Rattus norvegicus: one gene and its partner. The protein of the gene in region 1 purifies or fractionates together with the protein of each later gene. This does not show direct contact. Links are inferred from orthologs where the notes say so. Each region holds a gene or a part of one and is shown on either strand. Other genes may lie near its edges.

Evidence for each region. Proteins that work in one complex are often made in the same cells at the same time.
Region 2: the proteins of Prpf19 (region 1) and Eftud2 purify together in Homo sapiens (affinity purification with mass spectrometry; 3 studies listed by BioGRID and IntAct, with this or other methods). This does not show direct contact. The link is inferred for Rattus norvegicus from reciprocal best matches to the Homo sapiens genes PRPF19 and EFTUD2.

What each region holds. Positions count from the first base shown.
Region 1 is NC_086019.1:216,972,907-216,976,554, reverse strand, and holds part of Prpf19 (pre-mRNA-processing factor 19), read right to left. Parts: intron 2,347-3,648; coding exon 2,191-2,346; intron 1,992-2,190; coding exon 1,922-1,991; intron 1,724-1,921; coding exon 1,638-1,723; intron 1,402-1,637; coding exon 1,231-1,401; intron 1,096-1,230; coding exon 990-1,095; intron 1-989. UniProt on the Homo sapiens protein: Ubiquitin-protein ligase which is a core component of several complexes mainly involved pre-mRNA splicing and DNA repair. Required for pre-mRNA splicing as component of the spliceosome.
Region 2 is NC_086028.1:88,343,442-88,347,189, forward strand, and holds the start of Eftud2 (116 kDa U5 small nuclear ribonucleoprotein component), read right to left. Parts: upstream 2,717-3,748; 5' UTR 2,664-2,716; intron 1,012-2,663; exon of another isoform or gene 933-1,011; intron 1-932. UniProt on the Homo sapiens protein: Required for pre-mRNA splicing as component of the spliceosome, including pre-catalytic, catalytic and post-catalytic spliceosomal complexes. Component of the U5 snRNP and the U4/U6-U5 tri-snRNP complex, a building block of the spliceosome.

The DNA.
Region 1 (3,648 bases):
TGCGCTCCTAGCTGGCCCAAACTCAAGGTGATCCTCTAGCGTCAGCCACTAAGTGTTGGGATTACAGGTGTGAACTACCACATGCAGCAAGATCCCCACCCTAAAGATTGCTGACGCAACTCAGGGTCACAGGGGAACTCCAAGGTGAGAAAACCTCTTGCACAGCACTGTGTCATTGCCCTTGAGTACTTGTGTTGGGGCCTGAAGACCTGCTACTGTGGGAAAGGCCCTGAACTCCATCTCCACACAAAGCGAAACAAGCGTACCGAACTGCCTTCCATCTGCTCTTCCTAACTTGATGTATAAGCTTCATTACTCATCCACGACAGCCCCCAATAAAAAGTTCACGAAGGAAAGAAAAGGCCAGGCACTGTGGTGCACACCTTTAATCCCAGCACCCAGAAGGCAACGGCAGCATATCTCTGTGAATTTGAGGCCAGCCTGGTCTAGAGTGAGTTCCAGAACTGCCAATGCTTGTTACCCAGAGACACCCTCTCAAAAAGCTAAAATAAATAAAAACTTCATTACTGCCCATTACTTCATTACTGTTCTTATTCATTACGCAAATCAAGACCCATTACCAAATATACCATAAAATACTTCTAACCTATGGGTGTCATGCACTTTCATGTAAGCCCTCATGATCCCCACGAAGTGTCTCTTCATGTATTCCAATTTTCCTGGAACACCAGGGAGATCAGTTTGCTCCTCAACACACAGCTTGGGAGAGGCCAGCTAGTAGCAGTACTCTGGGACAGACTCACAAGTACTTTTCCTGGGCCACAATGCTCTACTCCCCAGCCATAAGTAAACACTACTGGGTGGGGATGGGGGTTGAGAGCTCAGTGACAGAAACCTCGACTGTGTTCTAGTCCCAGGACAGCAAGACGGGAAGGAAAGCCTATCTAAGCCAAGCCCAGAGCTTTATCCCCACTTCTCGCCAGAGCAGACACACAAGGCCCTGGAAGCCCCAGGCAGGCGTCCTCTACCTGTAAAGTGAAGAATCTCTGTCCACTGTTTGCAGATGTAGATCTGGACATCTGTACCCCCAAGCGCCAGGTAGGTGCCACTCTGGTCAAAGATTAGTGACTTCACCTGCCAAACCCCAAAGAGAGGCAATTACACAAATGAACAGAAGACATGAAACTGGGAGCAAACAGGAGCGGCTTGCATGAACTCAGAAACTATCGCCGAGTAAGGAGAAACAATTGAGACTGAGGAGGAACACACCTCAAAGTTGTTGTCCAGCTGCAATGTCTTGAAGTTCTTCAACTTGCGTAAGTCCCAGAGCTTGACTGAGGAGTCATCAGCTGCCGTGGCCAGGTAGTACCCATTCTCAGAGAAGGCAATGCTGGTAATGGGGCCGGAGTGGCCAGGGAAGTTCGCCACATTGGTGCGTTCCTGCAGGTGGAGGTTGGGCAATAAAACAGCATTCACTGGTCAAAACAGGAAAAAAAGCAGGGCTTACCAAACTCCTATTGTGAGATGTCCTATACATCCACAGTTCCTTGATCACACTTATGCCACACAAACAGAGCTAGGTACTCCTCTCCCAAGCCCTGAGATAACTCAGGCTTGCCATCACAGCTCATAAGTTCCTTCTCCTTTGGGCCCCAGACGAGGCCTGCATGTCCTACCTTCAAGTCCCAGATCTTGATCTGGGAGTCCATGGTTCCTGTTCCAAAGATGAGGCCATCAGGGTGGAACTGTGCACAGGTAAGAGCTGAGGAAAGGGAAGAGGTCTGTAGTCAGGAGTTTGCAGGGAGAGTGAGAGCGCTTCATTCCTCACTGTACCAGCACAAGAGTGGCACTACATTACTGCCAGTGGTAAACACTGTCTTTAGAACACATAAGCAAATGACTGAATGAAACACACCAACAAATTGCAAACAAAAGAGCTCAATGCCTCTAGGCCACTTACAGCAGCCGGAAGTCTCATCTGTCACCTTGGTGAGCACACGCCCTGTCTGAATGTCAGAGAACGCCCAGTACTGAAAATGAGATGAAAGAAAAAAAAAAAAAAAAAAAAAAGCCAATGAGAAAGTGGGTCTTGTGGTCTTCAAGACAGATCCCCCTTGCAGAGTTAGTTCCCATAGAGAAGAAACATTTCCCAAACTCTGGGAACCTTGCTGCCCCCTCCTCCCGGGATGAGAAAGCAGCTTCCTCAAGGCCCCCTGACTGTGACTGCACCTGATCATCAGAGGAGCTCAGTAGATAGTCTCCAGTGGCATGGAGGCTGAGTCCTGTCACCGCACTCTCATGGGCCCGAACAACCTGTACACAAGAAGTGTTCGGGACGGACCAAATCCTGATAGTAGCATCAGGGGACGCAGAAAACACCAATTCCTGAAAGGAAAGAGAGCAAGAATCAGAGTCCAAGAAGTGAGATGCATTTTAACACTTTTCCAGAGTGATGAGGACAGTCACAACTGCCAGCAACTACTTCTAGCCCAGTCCTGCCTGTAACCTTCTATCTAAACAACAAAGTCTGGGGCTGGAGAGATGACTCAGCGATTAAGAGCGCTGACTGCCCTTCCAGAGGTCCTGAGTTCAATTCCCAGCAACCATGTGGTGGCTCACAACCATTTGTAATGGGATCTGGTGCCCTCTTCTGGTGTGTCTGAAGACCAAAGTGTCATATACATAAAATAAATCTTAAAAAAACAAAAAGCAAAACAGAGCCTAAGAAAGCCAAGGAAAAAAGTGCTGCTGAAGTGCCAGGCCAGGCGAGAGCTTCACTACTTAGTAGGACAAGCAGCAACTGCATCAGAGAGCACTTGGGGCCCATTTTCAGGCTGGGTAAAATATGGCTCGTATAACTGAGACTGAAGTCGTGTGCTGCCTGCAGCTAAAGATGGCTGTAATAGACGATGGGAGCAGCACTGAGCCTAAAGGAAAGCCATGGGCCCTGTTCCTTCCACTTAGACCTCAAGAGCAAGTTGATTATCCAAAAGACTTGGGGCAGAAAGAACTTATTTAGTTTCCTTAACAAATTATTCCAACTAGTTAGGATAGCAACAGCTAAAAGATAAAAGCAACTATTCTTTCATTAACACATAAAAGCCAATAGTGGCACTAATATCAAATAAATAAGAAAATAGCGCTGCAAATTATACCTAATTTTTTCAGTTTGTCACAGTTGTGGTGGTTTGAATTAAAAACGGCCCCCATAGGCTCATGCTTAGTCCCCCAAAGTGGCACTATTTGAAAGGATTAGAAGGATGCTGCTATCAGAGGAAGTACGGGTGTGGGGTGTGGGGTGTGGTGGGGTCAAAGGCCCACACCAACCCCAGTGCTTTGCATGCATGCTGCACACATATCTGTCTGTCTCCTTTCGGATCAGGATACAGCTCTCAGCTACTGCTCCAGTACCATGCTTGCCACCTGCTCCCTGCCATGATCATGGACTGACCCTCTAAAACTGTAAGCAAGCACCAGTTAAATGCTTTCTTTTATAGGAGTTGCCACGATCATGGTGCCTCTTTACAGCAAGAGAACACTGACAAACATAAATTCCTCTATTTCTCAGTTTCCTTTTTTTTAAATATTATATATGAGTACACTATAGCTGTCTTCAGACACACCAGAAGAGGGCATCAGGGCTGGAGAGGTGGCTCAGAGGTTAAGAGCACTGTCTGCTCTTCCAGA
Region 2 (3,748 bases), on another chromosome or scaffold:
CTTTGGGAACATGAAGATTGCCATGTGAATGCTAGGATCTGACTCCAAGTCTTCATGGCTGCCTAGAAGTTACTCTTAAATTCTAAACCATCTTTCCAGCATCTTACTTTAAAAAAAAAGTTCTCAAAATATCACAATACAATCATCAAAACAAAAACATCAATACCAGCAGGTTATTCTACCTAATGCCAAGTTGAAAAACTGTTCCAGTCATGAATTATACAGCTAAGGACATAAACCAGGACTGTACACACCCTGAGGTATCTTTATCCTTTTAATCTAGAATGGCTTTCTAGTCTTGACTTTCACGACTTGACATTTTCAGACCACAAAGCAATGCTTTGTATCAGCAATCCCTTCGTGTGGATTTGCATCTGCTCTTAGCGGTACACCATTCCTCACTGATGATTCTCGCTGTGCCCTCAACTATGCTGACAGCGGACATGCTTGTTATAAAAGTACTCATTTTCCCTTAGTGATGATTAAGAACTCATTGTTCTTACTGCTCTTTCAAAGGACCCAGGTTCGAGTCTCAACATCCACACATTAGCTTACAATTGTCTGCAATTCCAGTGGATTTTTCCCCCACTTCAGTGACTGATATCCTGCTCAAAGGAACAGTTTAGATCCCACCCTTCAAGCTTTCCTAGCCCTTCAGCCTCTCACTTCTCACTCTCTTCAGTATCTTCTGTCCCAAATGCTAGGTGACTACTGTTATTCTCACCAACAACTCCTCTACAGTTTGTGAGCAACAAAAACCGAAGCAGGGGAAAAGCATCAGGCCCCTGGAGTTAAAGACCTCGCTCCATCGACCTCACTCCATCATCGTATCTCAGCCTCATCTCTAACGATGATGTTAACTCGTGGAACTGCATTTACCTCCCTAGAGTGAATTATCACAGCCTAAGACCTTAGAAAGGCGATGAATGTACCTAGCTATGCAGTCTGACGGCCTGGGTTCAATCCTGGAAACCCACGAAAAAGCCCCATCTGGTAGTGTGAGTGTCTGCGATTTCCTACAGGAAATGGGAGGCAGAGATTCTTTGAGGCTCAGAGCCAGTCAGTCTGGTGTTGGCAGTAACGAGGGGATCCTATCTCAAAACAGGTCAGGAGTGGAGGGACAAACCCTGAAGGTTGTCCTCTGACCTCTGCCTGCAAGCCACAGCACACCTGATCCTCATTCACCAGAGAGATTTGCAAACATACTCACAGAGAAACACACAACGTAAGATTAGCTGGGCATGAGAGCTTATACCCACGATCCTATCCTGAGATATGAGAGACCCTGTCTCAAAAAGTACAAATAAAGGGGTTGGGGATTTAGCTCAGTGGTAGAGCGCTTGCCTAGGAAGCGCAAGGCCCTGGGTTCGGTCCCCAGCTCCGAAAAAAAGAACCCCCCCCCCAAAAAAATACAAATAACAAATGTTGGTTAACATAAAACATGAGCATGTGTTCACACGCCAAAACCCTAGGCAGCACCTTGCACAAACAGACACCGAGTAAGGTTAACTGAGTAGAATGTTCAGTTTTGAAATTCTGTTATTTCTTACTGTAGACTGAATACCTCAGTGAGGAATGACTATAAATAAAATGCAGAATTAGAGTGCTAATCACTGGTAATTAAATGTCAGTCATTATGGAGACTCTGATGTAACTATTGTTTTTAGTTCTAAGAGGCCACCACAATTATGCTCAAGACTCCCACCAGAAAATGGCACAAATTTTCAAAGAAAGTTGTTTGCTCAACAAGCCAAGCTCATCTCTGCCTCAGGGCTATTGTCATTCCCATTGTCCTCTGGCTATTTATATCTTAATTCATTTAACTCACCCCTCTCCTTTAATGTCACCTATTTGCCACGCTAAAAATCCCTCCACATACACCTGTCAACCCAGCCTTACACTAATCTTAGTGTGTGGTCGGGTGATTAAGATCAAATTCTGGGCCTCACACTTCTCCACCGAGTTACACCCCCAGCCTAATAAATCAAGGTTATGCCTGAGTAGTACTTAGGAATACATGGGTGTATATCTGCTACTGACAAACGTTAATAATAAAAATCGGAGCAAAAAATGACAGTAGTGTCTGGGACAAAACAGGCCTTCAATACGTTTTGCTAGTTTTGTTTGTTGGGGGTGGGAGGATGAATTAGTTACATGCTTAGTTAAGTAAAGCTAGTCCCTAATACTAGAACTGCATCTTCCCGCTACAACACAGATCCTCAAAGGAATGCTGAAATCTTTTCTGTTTTGGCTTTTTGAACCAGACCCATTGCTTAGCCTTGAACCTGCACCAATATTCCTGCCTCTATCTCCAGCGAGGAAGAATTAGGCACCAGCTATCACAGCCAGCTTGGATGCAGAATAGTTTGAAGACGGACACAGTTTGGCTGTGAAGCAGGGACCGATAGAAGGGGGAGTGGCAGGGGTCTGGGTATTTACAGCGCCACCTCTACTAAGGCACAGGATCTTAACCACGCCGGGGACCACGGAAACGCTGGAATCGACCGTGTGAGCGTGTGTTGGGGGTCGGTGTCTTTCATTCCCTTCCCCACGCCAGAATTCAATTTACGCGTTGATTAAGCGAAAGGCATAATTCGCCTCTTCCCAAACTCGGGTTTCTTTGGTTCCCCAACCCCTGAGAATACCCTTCCCGGCCAGCTCACCCGCCGCCTGATCAGCCGAGGGCCACTAGTCCGCCGCCTGAGCCCGCGCTTCCGCCGCACGCCGCGACAACGCCGGCGCCCGTCGCCAGGAAGGACCCCGAGCGCGTCGCCGGATCGCCTCGCCTCGCAGGACAGCCCTCTGCCTGAGGAGCAGCTTCGAGGAATTTTGGCTTGGAGACAGAAACTGGAAAAGCCAATTTGTTGATCCTCAAAACGAAGCGTGAACTGTTTCAGAAAAACGCACGGTCGGAGGAGTCTCGGATCTGATCAGGCGCCTTGGGACAGCCCGAAGGGAGGGCCTTCGGGCTGGTCACGTGGGCGGGCTAGTGGCGCCGTTGCTAGGCAACAACCGCTGTTGGCTGGGCGATCCTCTAAGGTGTTCGTTCTAACAGATCGAGGGGCTTTTTCAAAAGAAAGCAAAAGGTCCAAGACTGGGGCTACTGGGTGAGGGTTTGGGGACAGTAAAGGGGATTACTCTAGGGGAAGGCTTAGAACTAGCCAGGGAAGTGGGCGGGATGGAGAGAGTCTATAGTCTCTATCGCTCCTGAGGCTGAGCCTAGAGGAAACATCATGAGCTCAGAAGTTTTGGAGAGAACTAGGCTACATAGCGAGATCTCCCCCACCCCAAAATATTGCATAGAATCTGAGACACTTGAGTACAATTGTTGGCTGGCTAACACAGCCCACTTCTTGGCTTTCCACTTCCCATCGATGGGATCCGGCATGGCTGTGGATTTGCTTGCGGATCAGCTCATTTCCTGCCCTAGGGCTGGCTGATCCTGAGTGAACTACAGCATGCAGCACCCGCTCACCAGGATTCTGAGGTGGAAAGAGGTATCATAAGTAAATGTCAGAACCCAGACAGGCACACATAGATTCCTGTGAAAACAGCCCCATCGGACACATACCACCAGAAGGGGGCAGAACTTCAGTGGTAGGACTGGAGATAATGCCACCACACATTTGCCTGCAGCCCTCCCCTGGTCAGGGATTTGGGAAGGAAGGCCACTGAGCTTTTCTCCCTCTGATAGTTCTCAACTTCCTGCGTTGCCATTGCTTTGGGTCTAGGTGATTTTTTTTCTCCA